Arabidopsis thaliana: one gene and its partner. The protein of the gene in region 1 interacts with the protein of each later gene in a pairwise test. Each region holds a gene or a part of one and is shown on either strand. Other genes may lie near its edges. The genes, in order: AT2G05755 and AT5G24000.

The links.
Region 2: the proteins of AT2G05755 (region 1) and AT5G24000 interact in a protein complementation assay, tested with the Arabidopsis thaliana proteins (one large-scale study listed by BioGRID).

Annotation. Positions count from the first base shown.
Region 1 is NC_003071.7:2,164,072-2,181,194, forward strand, and holds AT2G05755 (Nodulin MtN21 /EamA-like transporter family protein), read left to right. Parts: upstream 1-6,688; 5' UTR 6,689-6,833; coding exon 6,834-7,037; intron 7,038-7,241; coding exon 7,242-7,395; exon of another isoform or gene 7,396-7,396; coding exon of another isoform or gene 7,397-7,441; intron 7,442-7,558; coding exon of another isoform or gene 7,559-7,647; intron 7,648-7,709; coding exon 7,710-7,884; intron 7,885-8,106; coding exon 8,107-8,222; intron 8,223-8,319; coding exon 8,320-8,379; intron 8,380-8,501; coding exon 8,502-8,640; intron 8,641-8,742; coding exon 8,743-8,809; intron 8,810-8,972; coding exon 8,973-9,044; intron 9,045-9,134; coding exon 9,135-9,200; intron 9,201-9,422; coding exon 9,423-9,575; 3' UTR 9,576-9,872; downstream 9,873-17,123. Other genes in the region: AT2G05752 (uncharacterized protein), read right to left, coding at 5,234-5,317, 5,416-5,616, 5,970-6,038, 6,138-6,293, 6,374-6,457; AT2G05753 (uncharacterized protein), read right to left, coding at 7,397-7,441, 7,559-7,647, 7,775-7,865; AT2G05760 (Xanthine/uracil permease family protein), read left to right, coding at 16,907-16,982.
Region 2 is NC_003076.8:8,103,035-8,119,742, forward strand, and holds AT5G24000 (keratin-associated protein (DUF819)), read right to left. Parts: upstream 9,742-16,708; 5' UTR 9,659-9,741; coding exon 9,390-9,658; intron 9,321-9,389; coding exon 9,094-9,320; intron 8,912-9,093; coding exon 8,801-8,911; intron 8,572-8,800; coding exon 8,413-8,571; intron 8,082-8,412; coding exon 7,840-8,081; intron 7,670-7,839; coding exon 7,346-7,669; 3' UTR 7,151-7,345; downstream 1-7,150. Other genes in the region: FRO5 (ferric reduction oxidase 5), read right to left, coding at 2,531-2,673, 2,792-3,516, 3,605-3,842, 3,978-4,305, 4,422-4,656, 4,957-5,136, 5,227-5,323, 5,403-5,556; AT5G24010 (Protein kinase superfamily protein), read left to right, coding at 10,876-13,350; MIND (septum site-determining protein (MIND)), read left to right, coding at 13,697-14,677; SLAH3 (SLAC1 homologue 3), read right to left, coding at 15,584-15,971, 16,056-16,087, 16,177-16,708.

The DNA of each region.
Region 1 (17,123 bases):
TTTCTGTGGGGTTTCCGAGGATATATTAACCGTTGTACTATTTTGAGAGATTTTCGAGGACATTTTGACCGTTGTTTTTTTCCGAGGAATTTCCAATCGGTGAATATAGCCGTTCGAACGTAGTCGTTGATGTATTCGTTCGAATAGCCGTTGTAAATTCAAAACCCTCGGAAATCCCGAGGAAATCTCTCGGAAATTTGCCTATATATTCCAACCAATTTACATCTTTGGAAAACAAGAAAAAAACTAGAAACAATACCAACAGAAATGTCTTCTCCAGATCCTTATAATTATTTTAGTTCATGGATGGATAAACCTAGATACAATCGAGAGACGGGCAAACTTACAGAAGATTTCAAAGAAGGTCTTACGGAATTCATGTCATTCGCATCAATCCAGAACATAATGCGAGAAACAAATACTATGTTATGTCCTTGTCCAAATTGTCTGAATAATAAGAATCTCGAGGTAATTGTAGTAAAGAGGCACTTGTTTAAGAATGGATTTATGCCGGGTTATAGATATGGTATTCGCATGGAGAGAGTGAATCAATGCAAGATTATGGTAGTAGTAGTCAACAATATATTTCGGGTACTGTAAAGGAACCATCAACGAAAGTAGACGTAAGCACATTTCAGATGGTGAACGATGCATTTAGGGAAATGCACCATCTTTTGTTCAGGATGGAAATAGAGAAGAGTAACCGAATATAGAAGCTCGGAGATTCTTTGATATGTTAGATGCAGCTAATATGTCTTTGTATGATGCAGCTTATATGTCTTAGCTGAAACTAGGTTGATGGAGATAAAGACGGAACTAAATTTGGCTGACGGTTGTGTGGATGCGATTACTGATTTTATGAAAGAAATTTTGCTGGAACATAATCTTTCACCAGCTTCATACTATGAGGTGCAGAAACTTATAGCTGGACTTGGATTGCCATATCAGGTGATAGACGTGTGCAGTGATAATTGTTTGATTTATTGGAGAGAAGACGAAGGCCGCACTTCATGTCGTTTTTATCGTAAACCTCGGTATCAGGACACTAGTGGAAGAGTTCCCATACCATATAAACGGATGTGGTATTTGCCTTTAGCAGAGAGGTTGAAGAGGTTGTATCAATCAGAGCGTACAACAGGATCAATGAGATGGCATGCTGAATATACATCAGACAGTGTAATAGCGCGCCCATCAAATGTAGAAGCATGGAAACATTTTCAATCAGTGTATCCTAACTTTGCGTATGAGCCAATGAACGTTTATTTGGGTTTGTCTACAGATGGTTTTAATCCTTTTGGAAAGCATGGAAGGGAGTATTCATTGTGGCTAGTTATTGTGACACCTTATAATTTTCCGCCATCTTTGTGTATGAAACGAGAGTTTCTTTTCCTAACCATTCTTGTTCCTGGTCCAGATCATCCCAAGAAAGCACTTGATGTGTTTCTATAGCCATTGATTTATGAGTTACAAATGTTATGGGAACATGGTGTAGACGCGTTCGATGTTTCAGCCCACCAAAATTTCAACATGCAAGCGGTGATAATGCAGACTAAAAGTGATTTTCCAGCCTATGGTATGTTGTCTGGGTGCACAACGCACGGACGGTTATTGTGTCCGCATTCTCAAGATAACACCGACGCATTTCAGCTGAAACAGGGACGGAAGACGTGTTGGTTTGATTGTCACAGAAGATGGCTCCCAGAAGACCATCCTTATCGTTAGACCACTACATTATTTAGAATAAACAAGTCTTTGATGGTCCACCTCCTGAGTATTCTGGCGAGGACATGATGACCAGTTAAGAGATTTTGGTGCTGAGAAAACATCGGTTTGTGGTGGTGTCGGGCACGATACTGTTGATGGATATGGTGATCTTCATAATTGGCACAAGAAGAGTATTTTCTTGTTATTGCCATATTGGAAGGACCTTTTGTTGAGGCATTTTCTAGATGTCATGCATACCAAAAAGAACTTTTTTGATAACATCATGCAGAGCCTACTTAATGTTCAAGGAAAGACAAAAGATAACTTGAAGTCTAGACTAGACTTGCCTGATATATGTTCTCAAAGAAAGCTTCATGTCATGCCAAATAGGAAAGCACCAACCCCTCAATTTCGATTAGATGAAGCTTCCAAGGAAGCTTTCTTAGAGTGGATTATGATGGATGTCAAATTTCCGGATGGCTATGCATCTAATCTCCGCAACTACGTTAAAATGGGAGAGGTGAAGTTTCAATGAATGAAAAGCCATGATTGTCATATCATTATGCAACGCCTCCTTCATTTGATTTTGAGCATCTTCTACCAAATAACGTACACAAAGCAATTGCAGGTATATTATTACACAATTTTCTTTTATGCTTAACTATATATTTATTTATATCTAAACATTTTATCTTTCTCTACGCAGCTATTATTGTGTTCTTTCGATATTTATGCACAAGAACACTTACTCCATAAGGGATACAAAGGTTGGAACAAAATATACCGGTGATCTTATGTAATCTTGAGAAGATTTTTCCATCGTCTTTCTTTGATGTGATGGAACATATTCCAATTCATCTCCCACAAGAATTAGCACTTGGCGGTCCCGTTCAATATCGATGGATGTATCCGTTCGAGCGTTACATGAGTACTCTTAAGAAGAAAGTGAAAAATTTGGCAAGAGTCGAAGATTCTATTGTTGCACAATGCATCAACGAAGAAACCTCACACTTCTCCGAATATTATTTTCCAAAACACGTCCAAACAAAGATGCGGAAACATGCTCGACATGATGACGGTGGAGAGAGATCTTTTTACCCGGTTCTAGACCCAAAATTATTTGCCAAAGTTGGTCGATTAAGTGGGAAATCGAAGAAGCGAAGGCTAACAGTGGAGGAGCATCAACACTTGCACATGTACATTATCACTAATTGTGAAGAGCTTAAAGATTATGAAAGGTACAAATTTTTAGCTTTAACATTGAAATTGTGAATTATTAAAATTCTAAATTTAATATGTAACATATAATAATTAAAATTGCTAATATTTATCATGATTACTAATTTTCAGGATGTACTTGGGTTAAATACGCTTTGAATATCCACATGACGTTCAAAAACTCAAGGAGACTGAGTTTTGCAACTGGTTGAAATTCTACGTAAGCTTTTTCTTATTTATTTTTACTAAATAATAAATTTGCGAAGATAACTTTTACAAATTATAAAATACGTTCTACATGTTACATCTATGTCTTCTAGAGATCAATCAATTCCTACATGGTTAATGGAGTTTGTTAATGGGCCATTATATGTTGTGGAAGCGTATCCCATATATTGTACTCGTGGTTATGCTTTTAAGATTCTTCAACCCAAAAAGACTAGGCCGGCTTGTGATTATGGTGTATCAGCACAATCTAGTGATCTTGTATACTATGATATCCTCTACAAAATCTTAGAAGTTCGTTATCCAGGAATGATCAATTTGAGGTGCATTGTTTTCTCATGTGATTGGTATGATCCAATTATTTGACATGGTGTAAAACATGACGAATTCAGTGTTACAACAATACACATGAGAAAGAGGCTCGAGGGATATGATCCATTCATCCTCTCATCACAAGCCGATCAAGTATGCTCAATTATGATATATTTTTAATAAGAAAATTAAGTAATTTTCGTCAATAAATTAAAAATATTAACCAAATAATTTTATTATTCTAGGATACAATAATCTCTCGAAAAACCCTCGGAGATAATAAGTCCTAGGATATCCGTCGGAAAATATGTCATCAAAATTTTCTCAACAGTCGTCGGAGACAATGGCCCTCACAAATCCGTCGGAAATATTACTCCCTTAGAAATCCCTCGGAAATATTGTTCCTTTGGGAATCTCTCGGAAATAGTGGTCCTCACAAATCCGTCAAAAATATTAATCCCTTGGAAATCCCTCGGATATTTGCGAGGACTTTTCGACGGATCATAATTTCCAACCACGTCATACCGACGACAAAAATCCCTCGGAAATCTGTCTGAAACGCTTGTTTCCGACGGTTTACTAACGAATCGGTCCCTAGGAAATAAACTGTTTTCTTGTAGAGGTCAGATTGTGACACTCTAAGACAAGCTCAGATTATCAGACATGGAAAAGAAAAGTGAGAAAACAATTACGACATGACCTCTTTAAAGCAACTATAATTCATATATGTAGGGATTCCTGGTATTAATGTCTTTAGGTTGAATGGTGAAATATAGAATTAAACGTTTTTGTGTGTGCGTTATAATCGTCTTCAACCTGATCGAGAAGATTTCTTTTTAAGTTTCATATCTGACCAGTCCCGTGGAGACATCAAACGAACATCCAAACATACTAGGAATAATCTGAAATTTGGTAGGAGACATGACATTAAGTTTTGGTAGAAAGGTATCAAATTTCCAGTTTGAAAATTTAAATGAACGACTATTTCATGTATGTAATTCATAGGCTGATTGAGGTATGTTTGGTTAAGATTAGTAAGTTTAAATTTTTTGCTCTGTTTTCAACCATATAATAATGAACATTTTACATAGAAAAAGATGGATAGGATGAGGAAGAAAATGAGGAAGATGAAAGGGAAGAAGAAGAAGAAGAGTGTAGCGAAGAAGCGGACAGTGAAAATAACAATGACAACGGCTATTAAAAATTAAAAAAGAAGATGACAAAAAGAAATATGAAGAGAATACAAAAATAAGTGATGGCAGCAATTTGAATATAAGAAAACAATATTGATTCGTGATTCTTTTAATCAGATTTAATTCTTAAGCACTATAATTTTTATAATTTTAGAATTTCGTATTTGAAAAAAAAAATCTTTAATAGAAATTAAAAAAATAAAGACCAACCTATGATAGTTACATAAGATAATATTTAATAACAATTATCACTCAAATATAATTTCATCAAAATATATCAAATAAACTCAAAACCTAGTTAATGTTAATAATCCAGCCTAAATGAAGAGTCATTGCAATTTGTAAACCGATAAAAACTCTCTCTCACGCTTCCAACTGCGATTATCAAAAACCTTTATCGAGTTATATTCTCTGGCGTCGGTGGAGCTTTTGTTCACCGGCGTCGGAACTTCTCCACTGTCACTGTTCAATTTGCTCATTACCTCTCTAGTCTTTCAGTTTTTTCTGCTCTTTTGCTTAATTTTTCCCCCTTTTGGAAACCATCTTTAGCCCTTTCAACCCTTAAGCTTACGGTGAAATCCTCAATCAATAATAAAGGAAGAAGGTGGTGTCCGGCGTTTCCCATCTCTCATCCTCAACATGCACCACCCTTGCGGAAGCTTTCCCTGATTGAACCACAAATTTATCGAACTAAGAGCTTGATTTCCCGAAAATATTTCCCTCACCACGGCGAGCTTCTTCTCAGGGATTCGAGTTCAATTACCAGAACGGCCATGTTCCTTTGGTTCTCCTCTTTCGCCTCACTTCTCAGCCAAGATATCCAAACCATGACCCTATCATCACCGGAGATTCTCGCTCCACCGCGAAGTCCCTCCTCATCTCCGTACAACAGCGGCGGCACCCAAGACCTTCGTTTACCAAGCAATGGTGAATCTAGGTTTACAACTGGTGGACCTTTTAAAGTCTGGCCCATTAAAATGTCGAAAGCCCAAGTTTATTAAAGGTGATCCAAACCTTCATACACAAAAGCCCAGGTCTGACCTAAATTATTCTTTGTTTTTTCTTAGTAAAATACTGAATCACTTATCGGCACCACTTGATAATGGACGTCAAATGGACCGTTATGTACCAGTTTTTATATGGGTGCTTAAGAATTCTTTGCGAACTCTGCCTTTAGTTTCACCTAAGGTCTTCGATCATGAAATCAATTGTTTGAGTGTGATAGGTATCTTGTTCTCAATTCTAATAATTCGAGGTTGTGACTGTTGTCACCAAAGCGTCACAAATTACTTATCTCTGACACATTTTGCTACCAACTTTAAGCAATCTCTCATCAATAGCAACATTAAGACTCATAGCTATCGGTACTACACAGAAGCTTCCATTCTTTATGAGGAAAATCCTGAATATTCATCGCTTGCTCTTGAAAATAAAAGATTGATGAGAACCGGCATTATGATCTCGTCTCCACGGAGCGATGATTACCGACGCTTCTCCAATCTTTTTGCCTCCTTTCCTCGGTTTACTGAAATCAAGCAAGTTCGATCCAACAACTTTAATATTGGTATTCATGAGGTTACAAGGTTGAGGAAGAACGGCATCATGATCCCGTCTCAATGGAGCGGTGATTACCGAAGCTTTCTCAGCTTGTTATCTCCAAACCTAACCGACCATAGAACCATAGTCAACCAACTCCTTGCCGTTGAGCAACTCAAGCTCACCCTTCTCATGCCGGCGAGAACCTCGGTTATGAAACCATCTTCAACGTCACCTCGTCTCTTGACCTTGACCAATTTGTCTCCCATTGACTTACTCGTGGAAGATCATTCGACTAGCCATGACCTCACATGTCTCAAAACGCTTAATAGCCTTTGTCTCAAAGTTTTCATGAATTCACCGTCGTCTCACCTTATCTATCATAATTTGGCATTGAGGAATGCCTTCTTTGTTTGTATTTTAAACTTTATGATTTTTGTGTTATCCTTTTTTGTACTTGGTTTGGTTTGATTTAAATGAATGAAAATAAGTTGTTTTAAAAAAAAAAAAAAAAAAAAATGAAAAGTCATTGAAGTTAACGTCGCATTTAACGGCAAACGTTAAAACAATCTATTTTGAAACGTCGTCGTCTTTTGACTCTTCGTTATCTTTCCGTTTCGTCTGTTAGATTCTGTTTTCGTAGCCATGGCTTCTTCGTCTCCGGAGACCAGAATCGCCGACGAACACCTCTCCCTTGAGCTTACCGTTCGCGATCTAGAATCTACGGCGTTAGAAAGCGCCTCCTCCGCCCCTGAATTATCTTCCGACGAAATTATCCCTCTCCTGAATCAAAACCAAAGACCTAGAATCAACATCTTCTCCGCCTCCTACACTCGACGCAAACCAAGTGTAAGAACAGCTCCTCTCGTTGCAATGGTTGTAATTCATGAACAATTCAGCTGAATTTCGATAATTCGATTCGAAATTGATTCAATGGAATTGCGAGTGGATTCAGTTTCTGCTAATTATGTTGCTAGATTTGTAGAATTAGGTGATTGACAGGAACTGTGATCAGATTTAAGTAAGAATGATTTTGAATTGTGATGTGTGTAGGAGCAAGTGATTAAAGTGACTGAAACTGAGATATCACCTGTAACTCAGTTTTCTTCATGGATTTGGAGTGGTTCTCGTTACTCTGGCTTACTGTGTATGGCATTGTCATCTACATTGTATCTGATCATGGAGTTAGTTTCAGATACTTTTTCTGGTCAGTACTTCTTTAGCTCTCCAATGGTGTATCCTGTGATTTCGTCCTTGTGTTCAGTTTCATGGTTTTGTGTAAAGAGTTAGCTTTATGGGAAGGCTAGAAAATGTTGAAATTATCTTTGCTTTGTTCATATGGTGGGAGAATCTATGTTTGATTCTGAAACAGTGGACTTATCTAAGAACTTGTCTTTTCTAGTTGTAATGGAATCTCTCCTTAGATGAGTGCAAGTGCTAACCTTAGTGTTGCCTTGAGCTGACAGGTGTATTAGTATATTGATAGACTTTTTTTTTTCTAATTTCCTTTGTTTGTGACAGTTCAGCCAATTCCTTTGTTTGAGACCGCGTTCATGAGATGCACAATTATCTTGATACTGTCATACCTTTGGTTGAAAAGAATTGGGCAACCGATATTTGGACCTGCTCATGCAAGGAAGCTTTTGGTTTCAAGAGCCCTCGTGGGTTATCTTTCATTGTTTAGTTTCATCTTTAGGTAATTACATCTCACACTCTGCTCCCTGTGTACGGATAACCTACTCTCAGTAGCTTCTCGGGAAGATGGTTTGTTAAATTTATATACTGGTGACCGGTATATCATTTGAACTGAAATTGCTATTAGAAACAATGTCCATTCCCCACCAATCAATGTGTCATTCGTTGCAAAGTAAGACTTCTAACACTGTTTTTCACTGTTAATTGACATTGTGAACCACAGCATTCAAATGTTGCCGTTGTCCCAAGCTATTGTACTAAGCTTCTTGAATCCAATTATGGCTTCCATTGCAGCACGTGTTGTTATGCATGAGAAGTTGAAAATAACTGATATTGGAGGTTCAGAGCTTTTCTCATCATCCTTAACTATATATGATTTTGTATGCATACAAAGCAAGTCTATATATGACTTCTCTTTTACTGCGCTTTGGTCCAGGTCTTGCTTGCAGTTTCTTTGGCGTGCTTTTTATTTTTGGCCCAACACTTACTGTCCAAGGTACAGAAGTGAGTTAACAAAATAGTTCTCTATTTATTCTCTTAATAAAACTTCTCCTGGCTGTCCTTTATGCATGAGGAAACGAATATGTCATGTTGATTTTACTTATCTCTTCTTGGCAGTTGGATTAGAAGGAAAGAATGAAAACCTTAAAGGAAACCATCATATTTATGCGTTCTTGTTGGGTTTATTTTCATCAATCACTGGAGGAATCACCTATTGTCTCATAAAGGCAGCCGCTAAAGCATCGGAACAGCCAGTGTGAGATTTAAGATTCAGATGTGTCATCAACCCACATGTTTTACTTCTTTAGCGAAAATTCTATTGTTAGGAAGGATAAACAAATGATGTGCATTTTCACAGGATTACTGTCCTCTCTTTTGGCTTGGTAGCTTGCCCCGCTACAGCAATTTGCATGTTTTCCTTCGAGGTATGTTTTGTAAATATATATTGTGTATGTTCAAAGGGAATATGATATGGATGTAGGAAACCAAGAAATGCATTATCTGCACCAAATGTATAACGCAGTCACTGATCTATTGTTTGATCATTACTCATACTCATGATCCATAACTTTGAATTTTCTCATACAGAGCTTCGTGCTGCCAGCATTTGACACGCTCGTTAGCATGATTGTGCTAGGGTTGCTAGCGTTTTGCGCAGAGGTGAGGCATTCGGTAACATTCTGCTTCTACACATTTGTGTAGGTAACTCGCATAGCTCGACTGCTGAGAATATTTTTCCTTTGTCTTAAGGTACTTTTGGCACGTGGTCTTCAGCTTGAGAAAATCAGCAAAGCTGCTAACGTATTGTACATCGAGGTAGACTTCCACTTCCATAGAAGACAGTTTTTTTATCGGTTTATTTCTCTTTTTACTCTTAAGCTATGCAATAAAAACACTCTTTTTTGTTTAGTAAGTTCATTTCTCTCTTTGATTTTTTTGGTTTGGGTTTGGTTAAGATTAAAGATGGTTTGAACAGGATTAGAGCATAGTGATAAATCAGAAAGACCTAGTTTTTAATTAGTGTCTTTCTCGTATTAGGTGGTTTTATCGCAGTTATGGTTAGTCAGCACGGGAAAAACAGGATCGCCAGGTTTGTTTAGCCGGCTTGTTGGGTGTTTGCTCATTCTCCTATCGGTAGGCTACACAGTTTACATCGGACCTGCCAAAGATACTGAGTCATCAATACCATAGAAGTGTTCCATTCTTTTCTCATTTTTTTACTATGCTTCTTGTTTGAGGCAATGCAAACGCCACACTCCCCATTTCACATTTCTGAGTATAAAATTTCATTGATTTTCGTTTGCCAAACCAATGTATGACAGCACTTTGTTTGTTGTGTTGATTAGTTTTGGTCATAATGTAGTATAGTTTATGTTGCTAACTAACTATATTAGCTGCATAAACCATATTAAGTTGTTACTCAAAACACTTTCACTCCAAGAGAATCGAATTTGTTGTATTTTTGTATTACAAGATAGATACTCAAACCCTCTTTCCAACTTTACATGTGGCTCAGATTCTATGTTTCTTGTACCAAAAAAAAAAATGAACTAAACACACTTCTTTACTTCTTAGTGGTTTTCAATAAAATATGAAAATTGGAAGCATATATTCCCTCTAAAAGAAAACATTTGTTGGAATCTTTTTCAATGCAAAAACAGTCGGTGGCCGCTAAAAGGACCGACGGGTTTGAACAAAAAAAGATTTTATGCTTCCCTAATACTATATTCAAGTTTTTGATTATATATCTACACTAATAATTGAAGAGTAAACTGTTATATAAAATACTACATCCTGATCCGCACGTACGTGCGGAATTTCATATTTTTAATTCAATGTAGATTATTTTTTTATTTTGTGATATATATTATAGTACAATGTATTAGATATCTGAACTCTCATATACGTACAAAATATAAATTTTTTGGAATGTATTATATTTCTTGGAATAGAAAACCTGTGATGTATCTATCATAAATTCTTCGTCCCATACCCCGTCTATATATGTGAAATAAAAATACTACCAACCTGTAACCATCACAAAATACGTACATGCAGGGTTATGTGTGTAAACAAATTTATTTTATATAGTGCTCATAAAAATACTACATTTTTAATATTCTACTTTTCATGTCGTTTGTGTCTTATAATTCATATTTTCATTTCGTTCCATTAAAAGTACGTTCTAAAATTCTTATTTGCTTACCTTTAAATACCAATGTATATATGACTGAGTTTTGCGGATTAACATATAGGATGTTAAAGTTTACAAATATATCATTAAAACACACAAATATCTTTTTTTTAATTATTTTTTTCCTTCTTCAAATTCAAAATATGAATAGCATTATAACAAATAATTTTGTAAAAAACTATATTTTAACAAATGTAATAATTTTTCCTTAGCTACATTTTTAATATTCTTCTTTCTCTTGTTTAATCATAATTAATTGGATTTTTGGAATATAATTAAAATTTTGAAATACAGCTATAAAACAATTTATTTTTGCTGGATAATTTGTTTTGAATGAAAAATGTATAATTAGTTTACATTATTTCAAAAGTTTGTTCAATAATATATTATGGATTTATTTAAAAAAATAAAAAAATAAAATCTAAAATATTTCGAAATTAGTATGTACAATTTATTGTTTAGATATTTCTAAATGTAAGGCATAATGATAATTATTTTAAATTAATATTTTGTTTAATTCATAGTAAATATAAATCTTTGTAACATCTAATCTCGTTTTTAGAAATTTTGAAATAAAGTTTTGTTTTATATTTCAAAATATTTAACCCAAAATTCTAAAATTGAATTTATTTATCTATCACAAATTATGATTTTTTATTCATGGTATCAAGCAAGTGTTATGATTTAAAAAAAATTAAATAAAAATGAACTTCCAAAATGTTAGTTTAATAATATAATATAATTTGATATCAAATCTTAGTTTTTCAATTTTTATTGGTTAACAAATTTTAATTTTTCGTCCATAATTAATAGGAAAGAGAAAGTGAGTTTAATTTTGGGAAACTAATAATTGCTTAAAAGAATATTACCATTTTTTATATTTAAATCTATTAATTTTGTGATTACTATTGTATCCTTGATGAATTAATTTAAAAACACTAACAATCAATGGCATTCTATGTAATATTTTATCCTTCATAAGGTTGTTTATTTTCAATGATTCTCAATTAATAGTATAGATTATTAATTTTAGTATTTTATATTAATTTATTAATGATATAATAGTAATTACAAAATTAATATATTTAAATAAAAATCAAAAAATACTTTTAAATAATTATTAGTTTCTAAAAGAATTAAACTCATTTTATCTCTCTTATTATTTATGGACGAAATTTTTAAATTAATTCTTAAAAAATTGTTAACCAATGAAAATTGAAAAGGTAAGATTTGATATCCAGTAACTATAAGATTTAATTAACATTTTGGAAACTAATTTTTACTATAAAAAAAAGCATAAAACTTGCTTGATACCATTAGTAAAAATCATAATTTGCCATTGATAAAGAAATTCAATTTTTAGAATTTTGGGTTGATAACAAATTGGTGTGGAGGTCTGATTATCAGTTAGTTCAAAATGAAAATAAAAATAATTATCATTTTAATTCAAAATTAAAAACACGATTGTTTAAATTTTTTATTCAATGGAGGATTTTATGATTGAATTTAAATTTGTAAAAACTTAATACAAATATTTTTAAGATTCAATTTTGTTATGATATTTTCACAAATTTTAAAATATAAAACAAAACTTATTTCACAATTTCTAAAAACCGAGATATATATTAACCAAGATTTATATTTACTATTTATTAAGATCAAACGATAAAAAAAAATAAAGTAATTATCATTATGATCTTCATTTACAGCGAGTTTCTAAAATATTTAAACAATAAATTATACATATTAATTTCAAAGTATTTGGTATTTTATTGTGGTATGATTACTGAAAGTTTAAAATAGTTTTATGTTAATAATTTTTTAGATCTATTCATGAGGAAATTGGCTACTCATATAGGTAAAGATCATGCATTTATATGGATGTGCATCGCCGCGTACATATTTAAACTGCATCGTTTGGAAGAGTTATGGATGATTGTAAATAGTACGACCGATTTGAGATCAACCTCGACATAATATGAATCAATCACGGAAGATAGCTAAAAGGACATTATATATAATCATAGATTGGAAACGTAGATTGAAACTAAATTGAAAACTAAACAAATTACCTAACTGATATGAGTTCGGGTTTATAAATTATAAGCATTATATAAATTAAATTTGTTTACACATAACCTACACGTATGTATTTTATTACACATATTCTATTTACGATGGATACGGAATGTTAATATTTTTATTTTCTGTATACGGCATTGGCGGAGCCAGAAAAATTATTTATGGGGGTCAAATTATTTAATACAAAAAGTACATAAATTTTTAAGAAAAAATAAATTTCTATATATAATGTTTTTTTTTACTCATAGAATTAATCATGTAAGTATTTTATTTTATTTCGTTTGTCATAGTGTTAAGTACTTTTTATTAAAAAACTAGAAAATTATATAAAATTCTATCAACGATATGTATTACGTGACGTCATTTTAAAGTATGTAATGCAAAAAAAAAAAAATCAAAAATAATTTTCAAATAAATAAATTAAAAGATGAGACATATTTTTCTTTGTGATATACGAGCAATATATTTTACGTCAAATTAAAAAGTATATAAATTCTTACTTAAGAATTTTACTTTCAACCATGTTTTTCAATGGATAGTTGTAATTGAAATAGAGCAATGAGTTTAATTATAAGGATACTTTTGATATATAATAAATATTTTGTGGTTTTCTCTTAAACTAAAATTTGATGGAAGTCAAATTTTATTTTGTAAAGGAGTCAATTTATGATAACTAATCAAAACTAACGTAAGTTTAAAAATCCATGGGTGTCAATTGACCCCCATGTTATAGCTCTACCTCCGTCACTGGTATACGGGACGGGTTATGGAACGGAGACTTTATGATAGATATAAGATTGTTGGATTTTCTGTTCTAAAATAATTACACGTAGCTTATGCATTAAAAAAACTCAAACTAAAATTAAATTAATATCTTATTTAATATCCGTAATCAAACTCTTAAAAAATTATTAATTTAAATTTTTTAATAAAAATATAAAATTACGCATGCGGCTAAGGATATAGTATTTATAAATAAGGCTGATGAAAGTTCAAAGAGAAACTGATTATGAAATTGTCTGCTCTAAATTGCTTCGTCGTATGGTCGAAGTTGTGACTTGTGAGTCTATTTCACCTTAAGCATTATTCTTCACTTTTTTGTTACTTACAATCACGTGAAAGTTTAATATATGATAATACTTATTTTTTTATGTTTCACATGCTTTTCGTTTGTTAATGATGTTTATTGTTATAAAATGTATTACACGAGGGAAAATGGACTATTATTTCACAAACTATTGCCAACTTGATAATATTCACATAGAGTAGATAACTCTTCGACAACAAAAAAGAAAGAAAGAAGGGAAATTGCACTCTGTATACATAGAAAATTACAAAATTAATAGAAAATTACAAAATTAAGTGTTAGAAAAAACTACTGTTGAACCTTCTCTCTATCAAGAAAATATTCTTATACCCCTATACCTTATTTGTTTTTGATGTTAAATATTTTGTTACCTTTTAATAATAATGTTATTATCTTCCGATAATTATATAATCTTTGAAATCAATCGTTGGTTCAATAGCCGGTAATTTGTTTATATCGTCAATTGTTTTATTAACATGTTATGTAGGTTTGTACCTTAAGTTTTTTCATCCATATATCAAAATCCTATCCATATTTCGCTAAAAATATTATCCCGATAATACGTTATCTGCTAACTATTCTAATGCTTGTATTTTTTCTACATGATTATTCAGTCGCAAGTCAACTTTTTTGGCCTTCATGCTAAATATTTTGTTATCTTTTAATATTAATGTTATCATCTTCGCATATATATGTGTCTTTGAAATCTAAACATTGGTTCAATAACTGAAAATTTGTTTATATCCTCAAATATATTATTAACATATTAAGTAGGTTTGTACACCATGTCATTTCATCTATGCATCAAACTCTATCCATATTTCGCTAACAATATTATCTCGATAATGCGTTATCTGCTAACTATCCAGAGTTTTATCATATCTCTTTATAGGGGTATATTTGTCATATAGATTTTAGTTGAAAAGAGATACCTAAATAAATGATCTTCATGTATAGATTCTTAATTATTTGATGGTTCCTGTATAGATTTTTAAATCACCCAAAAGGAAAATTGCCCTACGACTACAATAAAAAAGCTGGTACCTACATGAACTAATAAAATCAAGCAAAATTGTATTGACCTAAACGCCGTAATTAAGTCAATACTAATATGTGTTGACTAAATGCCAATTAGATCAATAATCGAAAGACGTTGGTCCCAAAGCGTCTATTCAACAAACCAAACTTTTTTTCTTTTGTGTACAATTCAACAAACCAAACAACATCGTTTTGGTCATGTTTTTACCGTTTGGCTCAACATAATTTTTAAAAATATATAACCAGGATATCTATGATTCCAAAAAACTCATGAAGACTTTTTGAATTTACCTCATTTGAATTCTTTTCTTTCTTTTTTAGTTAAAAGATTTTAAACAAATTCTCTAATCTGCCAAAAAAGATTATTATTTTGTTTAGGAATAATTTACAAAAACATTCTGTGTAAGTGGCATTATTTTTTATCTGCTTGTTATTGAGCATGAGAGTTTGTTTCTACTTCTTCGTAATTGTTTAAGAATTTTTTTGTAAACTTAATTGTTTAAAAACGCAGTCTCTTTCTCCCGGAGAGGTTTTGGGACGACATTAAATGCATTCTTTATTCTTGTTATGTTTTCTGGTAGATAAATTTATCGTATCGCTTATCACAATTAAGGAAGATAACACGTGCTCCCACACAAAAGACAGAAAAACCATATGCATGCCGAATGATATTTATGTTCTGTCCAATGGTTTGCGAATTTCAACTATTTAATTAGGGATGGCTCTTTTTACTATAAAGAGAGAATGAGATATTTAACCAAAAATGTAGATCTCGGAAAGCATGTTAGAGGACTGACGACTAGATTTTCATGCAATCTTTGACATTAATTAACTCATATTTTTTCATTTTTCTTGGTTTGTTAAAATGTAAAATTTTGGAGTCTTTTTTTATTAACGTTTTTAGTGTCCAAAGCTTATTGTCGATAATATCGGCCGTAAAGCTGTGACTCTTGAATCTGCCGGATATAAGGCTTCGGTCACTCTGCTTCCGACTAGTAGCAAGGTTCGAGTCTTTATGTTTGTTGGTGACTTTTTCTATTTAACCTATTTTGTAACTGGATTTTATCTGTGTATTGGGCGTTAGCACAAGTCCGAATAAGTTGTTTTTAACAAAAAAAAAAAATACCACATGTGAAACGTGAATTAGTTTTTGTAAATAAAATTGAACTAGTGCATCAAACATTTACTCTCAACATTTTGTTCATTATCTACTTAGTTAATTAACTAATATTCTGGCGAAATTCGATTATGATTTACTCTAAAAGTTTCTGAAATGTATCGATGTGATTCACAAAAGGATATGAACAAAAAAATACGGTAATTTTTTCTTAAGTAGGAAAATAAATCTTTAAGAAAATTAAAACAAAGAATCTTAAGTGTTTAAGAAAATACATTTTTTAACTAGTACAAAATTTAACTATTTTCCTCATGAACAAATCTATTTTGTTTAAGAAACTACATTTTTATTTTTTACAAAAACAAATCTATATAAAATTAAATAATATGATCTCTACTTACAAAAAAAAAAGTATTTCTACTCAGAGGAATAAAATGATAAAATAAAATAAAATCTGAAACTTAAAAAAAAGTATGTAAAATAGTAATAAATAAGTCCAAAATTTTACAACTAGATGAAAACAAGTTGTAGAAGATTCTGTTTTGGCATTTAAGATCTCTCTCTCATGCAACAACAAAATTTTCAAAAAAAAAAAAACCTGAGAACTAATTGACTCCGTTGGGATGGACCCCACTTTAGAAAAAAAGATCTAATTGGTAGATAGACAGAACGAATCAGGGGCAAATCCGTAAAATAATCCAACAATTAATTCAAAAAAAAAAAAGTAAAGAAAGAGAAAGAAACTCATCAACGCCACGCCTGTACAAGAGAGAGAGAGAATAATAAGTTTACAGAGTAGAGAAGCTTTTAAATTCGAATCAGGGGCAAATCCGTAAAATATTCCTTTTTTTTTTTCCTTTTTCCTCACTACTTTATATCTCTAACCTTTAACTTTTTTTTTTCTTCTTCTTCTTCTTACTCTTCGTCTTCTTCTTCCTCCTCTGTGTCTGTTCATCGGAAAAGGAGATTTTGTTTTTTTGTTTTGTTTGTGTGGCGGCGTAGCCATGGCGGAGATAAGTCATCCTCCAATGGAACAGCTTCAAGACCTTGAATATTGCATCGACTCTAACCCTCCTTGGCGTACTCTTCTCTCTCTCTCACTCTCTATATAGTTTTGTGCAATGGAATATAATAAGTGTTTGTTTATGGTACTAATGACCACATGAACCGATTTAATTATTCGTTATTAGGAAATATAATAACCTGAGTGTTTTTGGTGGG
Region 2 (16,708 bases), on another chromosome or scaffold:
ATTTGATATCGTGTCTATTGTTATCTAATGCGACTGAAAAGAAATGATATCATCAAAGGAAATGAAAGATCAAAGATTCAGAATTAGATTTTCCGATTAGTTGTTTTGCAGATTCAAGATCTAGAATGCTAAAAAGAATTAGAGTTTTTGGTGAGTGATTGAATGATCTACACAACTGTTGGTGTTAAACAAATTGTGTTAGATATTTTGATAGTTAGAAATTGGTTCGTAACGAATACGTTGTACGGGTAAAATTGATAAATAAATCATTTATATTAATTAAAAAATTATAAATAAAAAGAAGCGTTTTTTCAAAAACAATATTCATTCTAGCTTTCAAGATTGGTTGGAGTTAATCAGAAAAATGCTTGAAACATCTTTCGATTGACCAGGTTTCTTTACCGAATCTATTTTTTTTATATTGTTTTTTTCAAAAAAATGTTTGTACATCAAGTTCAAGGTTAAGAAATAGCATACAAATTTCTAATAATTCTACTTCTCTTTAGTATTTTATCTTGATGCAAACCAAACTTCCATACATCCATAGTCTTCTACCAAATTTTATTATTATTTTAATACTTAATTATTAAGATTTTAATTATTTAATTATTTTTTTGCTCGAATTAATTAATAATAGTTGTTTCTTTTGCCATGTATGCACGTTGGTATTGGATTGACTTTCCCACATGGTTAGCCTTTTTATGACCAACCAGTAAATTATGGAATATTTGATGTTGAAACAAACTTTAAGAAAATTAGCTAGGTTTTTTAATAAAAAAATATTTAACTAGGGTTTCATGCGTTTGAATTGAGATTTAGAAACATTCTACAAAGAGAGAGGCCCAAAAAGGCATGATTCATGCGTTGTTAAATTGGCATTTCCTGTACTACATCTTTACTTATTCCTAGCTTCTTCTTTTTTCTTTGAGGACAAACTTATTCTTAGCTAATAATTTATCTTTACACTAAAAAAAGTACTAATTATGTTATAGTATACTTTATTTTTTTTGGGCAAAAGCTTTTCTATTATAGAAATTAAATAGAGAGCACATCGTTTTCGGCTAACATCGATTTTTTATAGCATTGTTTTTTATAGCAAAATTGTGTTATCCATATCTGTTTGATGGAATGAGCAGGTTGTCTAACTCAGATTAATGGCTTATTTCGGAACACAGATCCAAGTATTTTTTTGGAATCGAAAGTTGCATTTAAACATACACATTTTCAGCCACATCAATTTATGTTTTACAGGATAAGAAATCAAAGAAACAGTTTTCTTAATGTACCAACAGAATCTTCTTTATCTAATAGAGTTGACCTTCAAGATCGAAAAGGGTAAGTACAGTTGACATTTTCAATTCGATCGAACTCTCAAGTACAGTGGACTTATATTGAAAGAGCAGTACAGTAGTACAATCTAGCTTGATTAGTTATATTTCTAATTATATAAAAACACATACCGATTAGTATATAATATACATAGTAGTCGACAACTTTTTATATATTTAAATCTCAACCTACGGAAGTGGTTATTGTCTATTAATGAGATTTATGCATTAAAACAACTGTATCGTACGTGTGAATACACTTGGCTTTTGGAAACAAAAAAAATATAAACTAATGAGACAACAACATTTTACAATTACAAGGAGTGTGGCTTGAGAATCCTCCAACCATTGTTTAAAATAACTAATTAATTTGCAGCCATTGCCCGTTTAGATGAGGCTTAGTGGTGTTTAGGGATATTATCATGTGCTGAAAGATCCTGGCCTAGGACGGGCTAATTACCCGTAGTCCTCGAGCTAACCCGTCTTAAGCCAAGTGTAGCCAGCCAAACCATGATCCACAGTCGGCAGTCCTCGAGCTTAATTAGTCAGCGATGTGTTTTAACATTGGAAAAAGGATATTAGGATTCAAAACGTTAAGGGCCTAGCCCATTTGGCCAATGATACATTCCTAACTGGTTCTACTGGATAAATTTAAAGATAGAGATACATGTACTTAACCAACTGGCCTTTAGTCTAGTAGTAGCAAAATTCGTCAAAAGGATTGAGAAACTTTTCCATGTGGTTCAAGGAAAGCTTGGAAAGGATACAAGATGGTCCCGATCCAGGGAGGCTTCAGGCTTTGGCTCAAAACTCTTTCTGGTTACTAAAAATGTACGAGAAGAGATATATAACTACATTTGAATCAGAGAGATGGTTTCATCAGAGGACTCCAGCAATAGATCTGCACTTTGGTTCAAGCTCACTTACCTTGATACTGCTTTGCTCCATCAGGATCTTCGGTAAGCTCCATCAGCTATTTCTGGTTACTTCTTTTTATTTTAGTTTCAGTTTATTCTTCTTAAGATTTCTAACTAAATAGACATACTAAAATTTATTTCAAAGAAAAGCTTCATAGTAATAATAATCAATTTACCAACAAAAGAAGAAAAAAATAATTGAAAAGCAAACCATCTTATATCAACGGTTATTACGATGAATATAATAAAAAAAAGCAAACATATATAGTTAGAACATGGAATAGATCACCAGTTGAAACTAATTGCCTCAAAGTGAAGGTTCTTAGCCAAACCAGATGAACATATTTTTGCAACTTCATGTCTCATCTTTTTTGGTCCGCAAACCATCACCCCAACGTCTTCCGAACCCTCAGCCTCAAATAGAATCTCTGCAAAACGATAAGGCTTAAAGTATCAGCCTCATGCATGAATGCACATTCATTTATACCATTTTTGTTATGTAAGTGATGATATAATGTGGACTCTAGGTGGTAATAGATTACTTACTTTTCAGATTAGGTTTGGAGCCGAAGTGGACTGAAGTGGCTTGTACTATAGATTGATAGGGTACGCTCTCGAGCTCTCTCTCGTGGCCGTGAAACCATGAACCTGGAGAAGACGTGGGTGTCTGAAACTCTACGCTCTGTACCTGCTTCTTGGAGTCCTTATCTCCTTCTTTATTTTCTTTCTTGCGCCACAAGAAAATTATGCTTGACGAGATGAAAATGCACACACATCCTAGGAACATGACCCAAAGCACTCTATACGTGAAATTGTAGATCGATCCTGTGTTATGGTCAACAGGGTATATATAGTAACGTGTGACGATCCCTATGAGCAAGAGAAACATGACGAATGATGATAAGATCACAACTCCGAGCCAAAGGAAGTTGTTGGGTCCAAGAACAGGTGAGATAGGAGAGTCTAGAGGCTGCGGTTTGAACCATTTTGTCTGAAGAAGTTTGTGATCATCAGTTGTCTCGGGCTTCTTGTCTTCTCTTGTAATATAAGCCTCAATTCGGAGATTCAGCTTAGAAATGTCTGAGACTGATATATCTGAAGGGAAGATTAGGTCTAAAAATGCAAGATCGTGGTAATTTTTAAAGGCACAAACAAGGAGAACATTTGGTAGCTTTGTGCTCCGGTTTTGGCTCTGAAATATGAGTTCCCTGATCACGGAAATGAAGGGTGTAACTCCGCTACCACCGCCCACTAGTATTAGAGAATCGTGCCTATATATGATCAGGAAGAAAACAATTAGATATACTTAAGATAAAGTAGTTAAGTAAGGAACTTAAATAAGACTTTTGAAATTTTTACCTCGAGACATCAAAAGAGTTAGGGCCATAAGGACCTTCAGTAGAAACTTCGAGAGAATCAATGGAAGAAGAGAGATGTGTGTAAAGTTTTTGAGTCCAACTTCCCTGTTTTCTGATTACAACACTTAGTGTATCTTTCTCCAAGTTGCTGCTCGAAGTTATTGTGAATGGATGCCATTGAAGCTTGGAAATGCTCGGCACATGTAGAAACAATATGCTTGTTGGTGTATAATGTAAACCTTAAACATATACCAAAAGAAGTTTTCATTACATTTGCGTTTTGCGTTTGTATTTCTAGTTGAAAACGGAATATCTGTTGAAAGAAAAACCCTAAACTATTATAGTCAAGATAAATGGAAGAACTAGTTGTAAACCTGAAGTTTTGGCGAAAGTGAGTTCAAGGTTGTCTGAAGGTAAAATCTTAGCGGAAACAAGTCTGGATCTCTTGGTAGATTGTAAGAATCTCAAGTAGCGGTCTATGAAAAAGAGGAAGATGTTTGGCAAGATCATGCAGAACCATGAGTCTCCCACGTGGATTGCGTAGAAGACTATGTAGAGACCGTAGAGATGGTGAGTGTAGAAGAAAATTTCAAACTTCTTTCGTCTAAAGGATGGTAAACTCGTCACCCAAATCGCTATTCCAATCACCATCGCTATTGTTCCGGCCAGATTAGGCACATATGTTGCATTCCATGCAAACGTCTTCACATATATAAGAAATCGTAAAAACAAATATCAGTTGGAATAAAAGAAAGAATGAAAGTTTTGTTTTGTTTTGTTTTAAGGATAAGATTAAGGTAGATGCATGTAACACGGACCTCCATCAACTTATTGACCATGGCCCAGTAGATAAGGAAAACGACTGTGTGAACGAGGAAGCAAAAATTTGAGACATGTCCAAGCCAAATGTGATATTTTATGCTTGACTCCGACGTTAACCCGACAAGTGGCAGGATCGTAGAGGCTCTTGTCACCGGGAAGAACAAAAAGGCCCAGCAGTAGTGGCCTACGTAACCTATCCTCAGTCCAAAAGCCCTAAACTTTGCCTGCCATCTACACATGTCACGCAATATTAAATCAACTCCCATACCCTACGGATTTGGTACCTAGATACTCCAAATGGTAACTTGGGAGTGAAGCAATTCATCAAGGTATAAAAAATGGTAGTGCCAAAAAATGCACTAGAGGTTTTGGTGTGTTCCATATGTTATGTTTCACATAGTATAACCTTGTGAGCAATCATGATCAACGAGTGGAGAGACACATATCTTATATAGATAGATGTTATGTGGGATATTCCAACAAACCATTCGAGCATATAAAGTTAGAAGTGAAACAAATTAAGAAGCTTACATTTTGGCGTTGTCATGGTTATGAAGGTGGACGTGATAGCTAAGGTAGAGATAATTGGAGAGAGCCCAAACTAAAAGAGCCAGGAACAACAGAGAAAAAGTCAACTCTGTGGCTGTCACTATCCCCAATGGGTTCATAACCATCATCACCCTCCCCATTCTCCCTTTTACCTTCCATTCTCTGCACTTATACAAACAAAATTGTGATAATTTTGTAACAAATTTTACAAATATATATCGTCAATAAAAGTTGAATTATAACAAGTGGAACCTTTGAGTTTGGGAGGGTTGCTTTTGGGTATGCAAATAAACACAGCTCAGAACCGCAATGAACATCATTGGAACCGTGAGTAGCACAAGATTCATGCCTACACGTACATGATAAAGGAATACTCAAAGATGAAGGAATCAAAATTTTAATGCGAGAATAAATAGAGAAGTTAATACCTTGAGGACCAAAATAAGTAGTTTTGAGATACTTGGCGAGTTTGGGGGTCCATATGTTTTGGAAACGATTAGTTGAAATCATAATCCAAACGAAAATCCATCCAAGAAACAGAACCACCATTAACATCTTCACTAAGCTTCTCATATTCCCCATTTTGTCTTTTATGTTATTATCCACAATATACTTATGTAAGTGTGTGTTTTATGTGTGGAAAGCTTTTTGGATTTGTTATTTATAGCGGATTATCAGGGCAATAACGTAATTGTTTAATTAATATGTAACGTGTTATATTATACATGTCTAAGACGTGAGAATGCTTCCCCTGCTTTTATTTTATATCTTTTCTCCCAAAAATTATTTGCTGGCAGAGAACTTTCACAATGTAATGTATAATTACATATACATAACTCATATATCATACATGTATGGCCAACAATTTGTATAAGAAAACCATATGGGATACATGTTTAGCCAAACATGGATCAGTTTATGCAATTGAAAGCGTTCTTTTAATCAGATTTTGTATTCAGTTTCTATATATAGATTTAGTTCTTCATGAACTCTACAATATATTTGGGACAATTATATTTCGATCTGTGTTGGGATGCATTATTTGGATGCAATTGCACAATATATTGTTTGTTTAACCAATTCACACTAATATATCAACATAAAAAGATATTTTATACCAATTACATTTAGAATGGTCTTACTAATTCATTTCTGTGAAATCTTCATTTTACTTTTAATAAAAGAAAAATCACGAGTTTATAGACGTGAATTTGTACGAAACTCTTAAAAACGTACATGATAGTTTCTTAGATATGCCCCTTGGTCTAAAAGTGTCACACATATTTGCGAATAGAATACTTGTGAGTTGAGAGCAATGGTTTGATAATTATTATATATTTCTACTCTACAACAAATACTGCCAAATAGAAAAGCAAGAAATGTTATCAAATTCAAATGTATGTTACGTTTAAGTAAGAGTGAATCTCGTTGAAAAACGTTTATATGATTGTGTAAATATCTATATAGATATAAAATGGATAAAAACGAGAAGTACAAGATGGTTCCAACTTCCAATCAAATCAAAGTATCTTACTAACTATTTTAAATTTAATTAAATTATAAAATATTAGTTAGGGTTTCGTGCGTAGAGAGTTGAGATAATGAGATTTGAGAACATTCTATAAGGCATGATTCATGCATTTACAAATTGGTACTTGTTGTACTACATCTTTACTTATTCTTAGCTAATATATACTTTATCTCCGCATTAAAAAAATATCATATTACACTATCCATGTCTTTTATTGGCTAAATTGGGCTCTCCATATCAATATTATGGAAAGAGCAGGTGTGTCGAACACATACTAAAGACTTTGTTCGGACCTCAAATCTAAGTCATGCATGTGATAGGTACATTGCATATTTTGTTTTTGGAATCGAAAGTTGCAAGTAAACGCATAAATTTCCAACCATGCTAATCTAAGTTTCATAGGATAAATCAAACAAAGAAGGATGAATCTAGCACTACTTTTGGTTACAAAATATTTGGAATCAATAGAATCTTATTAATATGGTAGAGTTGACTTTTGAGATTGATATGGGAAAGTACAGTTGACTTTTAAATTACGATCTCAAGTACGGTTGACTTGTATTGAAAGAGCGGTACAATAGTACAATCAACCGTACCACTAGATGTATATTAGTATTAGTCAACTAAAAAAAAATCTACAGACAAATTTTATTTTATATTTGAACAAGTAAAGCTCGCAAACCAATGTAAAATGGTTATTGTTTATGAGATAAATGCTTGTTTTGTATGAAAACACTGATAATTTGGAAAACAAAAAGATTTAAAATTTGTTGAGAACAATTAGCAATTTACAAGAAGTCTAGCTTCAGAATCCTCCAATCATTAGAACTGTTTAGAAATCTATAATCGTTTGAGGACAAAAACTCCACATCCAATGCCTAGAAAAGTTGCTATGGAGACCCCAAAAACACCAGAGAGAATCCCGGGGACGACAAGAGAAGTCCATCCTTTTGCGGTTGCCATGGCACACGCAGTGGTTGGGCCTCCGATGTTAGCATTTGATGCAAGAAGTAATAGCTTCATGTCGATACAGAATAGTTTTCCTAGAACCAAAGTCACTGCTAGATGAACCATTACTTGAATAGCAGCAAATAAGAAGATACTTGGGGCAGTGTTGATTACATTCCATACACTCCCTGTGGCTCCTAGAATTGTGAAAAATACCTGAACAAAAAAGATTCAAAAACAAACCATGGTCTGAAGTCCTCGGGCTTAATCAGGGATGGGCTTTAACAATGAGAATAAGGGCTCAAAACGGGTCAGACATAGCCCATTTTGCCAATGACATGTCTAATTGGTTCTAAATAATGGATAAAGTGTAAAGAAAGAGATACCTGCATGAGAATGAGAGAGATGGTTTCAGCAGAAGGTGCCAGAGAGTTGAAGAAATCAGGGAAGGATGTTGCCAAGACAATGGTGATGGCTGTTACTGCAGGAAGCATAACTCCTTGTATCTTAAATAGCGTCGTCAACGTAATTGCAGCTTTGCATATCAGGAAGGAAACTGATAGTGCAATTGAAGTTGAAACCACTCTGTTCTTGTCCTCGAGCTTGTCATCCTTAGTCATGTCAGCATCTGCCAAAGATCACAAAAACTTGAATAGTAGTGTTTATATGTGGATGCAAATGCAGTTAGAAGATGAGAAACGTTATGTAATAATGTCAAAACTCAAAAGTATTGAAAACTTATTATCAAGTCTTAATTTGATAGGCACATTATATGTATTAATAATAACTATCTTTACCAACATTCACTCAAATCAATTTGACAACTAACCAAGTAGCCCTAGAGTCACCAAATCCTTAGTTGGTCCGACTATTCGCCATAAGTTCTTTAGTAATCCTCTCACATTGCAACATACTTACATACCTTATATATACAAAATGTGATCAAGATGGAAGTTTACCAGGGGAAGATGCTGAGGCGGTCTCAGGGGGTATCTTTGAGGCCAACGCAAACAAAACCATGAAGTGAAGAGCACATATGACATTATCCACAGCTACACCCGCTGCTATAACAGATGGAGATATCTGTAGAGCCTCCGATATCGCAACAAAATTAAGGGCTGCAGAACAAAAAACAAGAACCAACAATTTTATTCTCATTCCTCTTGAAGAATCCATTCCCAAGTTGTGATAAACATCTTACAAGCCAATTTAGCAAGATTTTCCTCTTTTTTCGATAAACGAAAATCAAGCAAAGCTAGAATCTTTTCGGCTAAAGAAGATAAACATTGAGTACCTCTGTCTGTAAACAAGCCAAAGAAGCAATGAAGGGGCTCCAGACAAACTTACATCCACCAATGTAACTCCCCATAAGAGCAGCTGCTATTTTCCAGTTATCCGGACCAAGCGATCTCATCGGTACCAACATAAAAGCCACCACTGTTCCAACAATCGTCGCAACTACAACAAACCAACTCACAAATTAATAAACCACTCAACACATCATCAATAACAATGTCACTTCACAATCAATCTTTTTAACTAAAACCACTCAAAGACATAAACTTTTGTTAGTCTTAAGCATGAATCCAAACTAATCCCAATCCAAAAACTTGCCTTTAAGCAAAAGACTAAATCTTTACCAGATCCAATTAAGAATGCAAGAAGCAATGATCCAGTAGATCGGATAATACGACGGAGATCAGCTCTAAACAACAACAATGGAATCGTATGCGGCAAGAGAAACTCCATGAAGAAGCCATACGACGGCGTTTCAAACGGAATTAACCTTAAATTGCTAGCGGCGAGCCCAAGTAACGTACTTGTCAACGCACCACTCACCATACTTCCAATTTTCGTCTTCTCCGACCTAATGAAGTCGGTAATTTCATCAGTATACAAAACCCTAGTTTCAACAGAGAGGATTGAGGTGATTTACCAGACACCGAAAGCTCCGGCGGCGAAGAGAGCAGCCCATTGTGACCAGTGATCGTCTGGGGAGATTAGAGGGAATCGTAGTTGTGAGTAGACCTTCACGCGCCGGCGTCGAGATGAAACAAGACGATGTGGAGTGAGTGTTACCGGCGGCGATTTGTTACGGCGTATGGTTATTGATGATGATAAGTGGTGGCGGGAAGGAGACACGTGGAGCGATGAGATTGTGGGGGACAGTGGATTTGGTGATACCACTGTGAATAGAAGAGCCATTGCACTTTTTAGATACACCAATTAATGTTTGAAGTCCCATATTATACTTTTGGAAACTTATTTTTTTTGTTTCCTTATTCGGCTAAACAAATTTATTGAGATATCAAATTGACGAGAAGCATATTAATATACCACATAATGAATATGATAAAAGTTTAAAATAAAATTTAACAATATTTTTTTTCTAAAACTTTACTCTATTTTCTATTTTTGTAATCTATTTCTTGATACGAAAAAAATAACAAATAAGAAATAAATAAAATCGATAAAGAAAGTAACATAACATAGGAAGACGAAATATATAAGAAGAAAATATAATGAATAGTATGAAAAAAGAAAAATAGTAAAAAAAAATTATGATTAGCTTCGTTTGGTGGAATTCTCTTCTTTTTAGTGTTTTCATGTATTTTATTGTCTTCTTGTTTATCAAGAAAAAGAAGTTAATCTAGACTTTGATAAAATGATGGATCATGGATGCCCATAAAAAGAGTACTTCTAATTTTTTTTCTATAACTTTTTTAAAAAGGATGCATTCACTATAACAAGGTTTGTTGTATGAATAAAATTTTACATACACTCAGAAAAAAGAAGAAAAAAAGAAGAAGAAGAGTACTTCTAATTTGGTGACAGATGCTTCCTTATATTTCCTTCTAATTATTAAATTAGTATCGTTTAGGTCTATTGGAATTAATGAGTGAAATATTAAACCTTGCCTACAATACACTAATTAATTTATTTTTTGTAATAATGTGTCGGTCCAAACCTTGTTAGTTACGCAATTAATACCATAATAATCACACCACCTACGATGAGTTAATCCGTAACACCACAAATTATATCTCAAAACTGTTTCTATCTAATTCAAAAATGAATCAAACATCCCTACTCATAGCGTACACAAATGATTAACTAAGAATTACCAAATCAGTGAAAATCAACTATATTTAATAGAAAGCAAAACTTTTTGAAAATGATTGCCACCGAATCACAAACAAAATCAGGTTTAAGCTTCCTTTGGTTTCCCATTGCTGTTGACAAACTTCGCTGCCTAATGATTTCACAAACACTTTCTCTTTCACTTACCTTTAGTGGGAAAAAAATACGAATACAGAGAAGTGACAGCAAAAACCCACTTTCTAGTTTCTCCATCTCTTCTTCTCTTTAATATCATCAAACCAAAACCTTTCTCAAACCTTCCCCAAAAAAGCTTCACTCTAATGGCGTTTCCAATAAATCTAACCCAAACCCTTCTCTTCTTCTTCTGCCCTCTTCTTCATCTCTCTTTCGCTGCTTTCACTCCAACTGATAATTATCTCATCAATTCCGGTTCTAACACCAATACATCTTTCTTCACAACCCGTTCTTTTCTCAGCGACTCTTCAGAACCTGGCTCGAGTTTTCTCTCCACCGATCGATCCATCTCGATTTCTGACACGAACCCATCTCCAGATTCACCCGTTTTGTACAACACAGCTCGTGTTTTCCCCGTCGGAGGATCATACAAATTCCAAGTCACTACCAAAGGCACTCACTTTATCCGTCTCCATTTCGCGCCTTTTAAAGCTTCGAGATTTAACTTAAGGTCTGCTAAATTTCGAGTTTTGATTAATGGGTTCTCTGTGATTAACAGTTTCAGTACTAGCTCCGTCGTTGTTAAAGAATTCATACTCAAAATCGATGACCCTGTTTTAGAGATTTCGTTTTTGCCCTTTAAAGCTTCTGGATTTGGGTTTGTTAATGCGGTTGAAGTGTTTTCAGCACCTAAGGATTATATAATGGATCAAGGAACGAAGCTTGTGATTCCTAACTCTGCTCAAATCTTTAGTAACTTGTCATCTCAAGTTCTTGAGACTGTTCATAGAATCAACGTTGGTGGTTCGAAATTGACGCCGTTTAATGATACGTTGTGGAGGACTTGGGTTGTTGATGACAACTATCTTCTCTTGAGAGCTGCTGCTAGACGTGCTTGGACTACTCATTCTCCGAATTATCAAAACGGTGGTGCCACGAGAGAGATTGCTCCGGATAATGTTTATATGACTGCTCAGGAGATGGATCGAGATAATCAGGAGTTGCAGGCAAGGTTTAACATTAGTTGGGGGTTTCAGGTTGATGAGAAACGAGTTCTTCATTTGGTTCGTTTGCATTTCTGCGATATCGTTAGTTCGTCGCTTAATCAGCTCTATTTCAATGTCTTTATCAATGAGTATCTTGCGTTTAAGGATGTTGATCTCTCCACGCTTACTTTCCATGTGCTTGCGTCTCCGTTGTACATTGATTTTGTTGCGGAGTCTGATCGTTCTGGAATGTTGAGGATTAGTGTTGGACCGTCTGATCTTAGTAATCCGGCGAGAGTTAATGCTCTATTGAATGGAGTTGAGATCATGAGGATTTTGAGCCCTGTGAGTTCTGAAGTGGTATCTGGAAAGAGGAATGTTGTCTGGATCGTGGTTGGCTCGGTTTTGGGAGGTTTTGTGTTCTTGTCGCTGTTCTTCTTGAGCGTTTTGTGCTTGTGCAGGCGCAAGAACAACAAGACGAGGAGTTCAGAGAGCACGGGATGGACACCTTTGAGGAGGTTTAGAGGCAGTTCCAATAGTAGAACAACTGAAAGAACTGTTAGTTCTAGTGGCTACCATACTCTGAGAATCTCGTTCGCGGAGTTACAATCCGGAACCAATAACTTTGATAGAAGTTTAGTTATCGGAGTTGGCGGATTCGGGATGGTTTTTAGAGGGTCTCTTAAAGACAACACCAAAGTAGCTGTGAAGAGAGGCTCTCCTGGTTCAAGACAGGGCTTACCAGAGTTTCTCTCTGAGATAACCATTCTCTCTAAGATCCGTCATCGCCATCTAGTTTCACTTGTTGGGTATTGCGAAGAACAGTCTGAGATGATTCTTGTTTATGAGTACATGGATAAAGGACCACTCAAAAGTCACTTATACGGATCCACCAACCCGCCTTTATCTTGGAAACAACGGCTTGAGGTCTGCATTGGTGCAGCCAGAGGACTTCATTACCTTCACACCGGTTCTTCGCAAGGAATCATCCACCGGGATATCAAATCCACCAATATCTTACTAGATAACAACTATGTAGCCAAAGTTGCAGACTTTGGACTCTCAAGATCCGGTCCTTGTATTGATGAGACACATGTGAGCACCGGTGTAAAAGGAAGCTTTGGATATCTTGATCCTGAATACTTCAGAAGACAACAGCTCACGGATAAGTCCGATGTTTATTCATTTGGTGTTGTTCTTTTTGAAGTTCTTTGCGCTAGACCCGCTGTTGATCCGTTGCTTGTTAGGGAGCAAGTAAATTTAGCAGAATGGGCAATAGAGTGGCAAAGGAAAGGGATGCTTGATCAGATCGTTGATCCGAATATCGCAGATGAAATCAAACCGTGCTCGTTGAAGAAATTCGCTGAAACCGCAGAGAAATGCTGTGCGGATTACGGTGTAGATAGACCGACAATTGGCGATGTTCTATGGAACTTAGAACATGTGCTTCAGCTTCAAGAATCCGGACCATTGAACATTCCTGAAGAAGATTATGGAGATGTTACCGACCCGAGAACGGCTCGGCAAGGTCTGTCTAATGGCTCGAACATAGAGAGAGACTATGGAGATGGAACTTCAGGCATAATCAGTAGCACCCAAGTGTTCTCTCAGCTAATGACCAACGCTGGGAGATAAATTAAAGTCATTGCTATATAGAGCAAGTATTTATCATAGTCATAGAGTACAATACCTAAACCGGGAAACCAAAGCGGTGTACCGGTATCTCAGATTCGGTTCGTGTTTGGTATAATTTTGTTTGGTTTCTGTAACTTGTAGAGCTATGATTGTTCATTTGATATGGATGAATCATAAACCGTTAAAACCAGTACATTATTTGGTTAAATATTAAACCGGTTAAGAGTGGAGAAATTAAAAACCGGAATCTCAAAAGTTCTTGATAAACCGTAAACCCTGTGAAGCCACAACGCTCAGAAACATTTCTGTCTCTGTGGAGACAGCTGAAGAAGCAGCAGCACTATCAATGGCGTCTCTGAGATTGTTCTCAACGAATCATCAATCTCTTCTCCTTCCATCATCTCTCTCACAAAAGACTCTAATATCTTCACCAAGATTCGTCAATAACCCTAGCAGACGGAGTCCAATACGATCCGTTCTTCAATTTAATCGCAAACCGGAACTCGCCGGAGAAACGCCGCGTATCGTCGTTATCACCTCCGGAAAAGGCGGTGTTGGAAAGACGACAACCACCGCAAATGTCGGTCTCTCTCTCGCTCGTTACGGTTTCTCAGTTGTCGCCATTGACGCCGACCTTGGTCTCCGTAACCTCGATCTCCTCCTAGGGTTAGAGAATCGAGTCAATTACACTTGCGTCGAGGTTATAAACGGAGATTGTCGTCTCGATCAAGCTCTGGTACGTGATAAGCGTTGGTCGAATTTCGAATTGCTATGTATATCTAAACCTAGATCGAAACTTCCGATGGGATTTGGTGGTAAAGCATTGGAATGGCTTGTGGATGCGTTGAAAACTAGACCGGAAGGTTCACCGGATTTCATCATCATCGATTGTCCTGCAGGAATCGATGCCGGATTCATAACCGCCATTACTCCGGCGAATGAAGCAGTTCTGGTAACAACTCCGGATATAACAGCGTTAAGGGATGCTGATAGGGTTACGGGTTTGTTAGAATGCGATGGAATCAGAGATATAAAGATGATTGTGAACAGAGTGAGAACTGATATGATTAAAGGAGAGGATATGATGTCAGTGTTAGATGTGCAGGAGATGTTGGGATTGTCATTGCTTGGTGTAATTCCTGAAGATTCTGAGGTTATTCGAAGCACGAATCGAGGGTTTCCGCTTGTTCTGAATAAGCCTCCTACGCTTGCGGGATTGGCGTTTGAGCAGGCGGCTTGGAGACTCGTTGAGCAAGATAGTATGAAGGCTGTTATGGTGGAGGAAGAACCTAAGAAACGTGGCTTCTTCTCTTTCTTTGGCGGCTAAATGGCAAACGGATCGAACCGAACCGAACGGTACTGAACTGAACTGAAACTTCTTCCTCGGGTATGTATGCATTGAAATCTTTTGTACAGGAGCTAGAGATTTTTGAAGATTTTGTCTCTTTTGCTTTGAGAATTTAGATTTGTTCCTAGGACAATGTGGAATTCTACTGCTAGTTTGTTGCTGAGTTCAAGCTCTGATTCTTATGCCTTTTGTTCTTGAGGTTCTTGATTTCTGTTTCTGTAATCTGTTTATGTTAAAATTGAGAGTTTCCAATATATCTCAAGTTCTTATGTCAAATCGTTATGATGAGAACTTCAATAGCTTAGCTGATCTTATCAGAACTTTTCGCGAGTATGAATTCGGTAGCTACTGGTTTGGTGATGATTTTGCTGGCCCTTTTGTACTATGTAGGCTTGAGTACTAGTGCTGTCTAGCTTGGTATTATGCCATTTGATTCTCTACCTTCTTGATTTATCGATATGGCGGTGTCGATTAAGTTCCCGAAATAGAAATGATTATGTGATACTGAAGCTCTTAGAGGGCTTAGCTGATAGTAGAACCAACATGATCGCGTATCATAATTCTGATGCTATTTATACAGTGATAACCCCTCAAAACTTTTTATTTATTGGAACAAAACAAGTATACATGCTCTTTGAAGTATTATGATAACTGCTAACAGTTCTGGTTTAAGAGATACTGGGTCGTTTGGATTGGTTCACCATTGTAGACAACCCCTCCCGTTTACTTAATACTGCTTTAAACACATGATCATTAGAACCACAGCAACAATTACGTTACTAGGTTCCTCACTTGTGTCAGAGACACTGACAACAAACCAAAACCAAAACTTCGGATACGACTCTGTATTAGGGGTTATGAAAACTTTTTTCGTGATTCTCCAATTTATGATGAATCACTCTCTTGAGTTTTGCCGTTGCAAGCTTCTACATCATTACTCTGACTGCTGTCGGAGTCTGTGAATTTCAAGTAGTTCTCGATGTTCTCTGAGCTTACGTTTCTCAGTTGGTCAAGCCACCGGTGTTGGCTATTCTGTTTGGGTCTCGGACGGTTGCTGATGGCTATGGCGAGGTCATTGGGAAAAAGATCTCGGAGGACAAAGGCGTGGATAATGGTGGTCACGAGCAGTGCGAACACGACTAACGTTGCAATGGCACATAGGACCACACACATGATTTGAGTCATAGTGCTCTTAACCACTGTTGCGTACCTGATGGTAGCAATTGCAGCTCCGGTCATCGGAAAGGTGTACGCCCACCAGGACAGCGAAAATCTATGAGAAAAAAAAGTGTGAGAAAGTTGAGCTAGCGAATAACTAAAAATCAAACAGTAATAAAAGTAATTTTCTTAATCTTACTTGATTCCCCTGAAGAAATTGATCCGAACAGCCTATAAATCAAAGAAAGGGAAAATTTGTATTAGTAAATACTTTTCTGAAGAAGGAATATATATACAGCTAAGTTATATGTAAAACGTACCAATGAGAAATAGAGGAAAATGGCGATAAAGTAACAAACTTTGGAGCCATAATCGAAGGAGCCAGTGACCTTAGCCCAAGCCATGGAAGCAACACTTGGAGCCGCAACGAAGAGGAAGAAGACAGGATGAAGATCTTTAGGCAAAGTCTCGTTGGTCGGTAGCCTTTGGTAGAGAGTCACGAACAGAACCAAGTAATGAGCCATCCCAACAGCATAGAAGAATATAGGGCCTTCTCTAAGCCCCATGGACGCACCAAGCAAGGCCCCAACAAAGTTCCCAACGACCGAGAGATGGTTGGTCGGGTTGGCGACCCGGGAGAGCCGTCGTTGACCACCGGACATCCACTGACCGTAGATCTTAAGCTCAAGACAGATGAATGGAAACATGAGGAGGTACCAAAGGAAATGCGGCAAATCTGTAATTATGGAAGGTGGGACACCGAGGGCAAGGAAGAGTAAAGAAATGAAAGGAGCAAAGAAGAAGTTGATTCTGATTGGATGGTAGTATTCGCGGCGTACGGCTTCGAAGAAA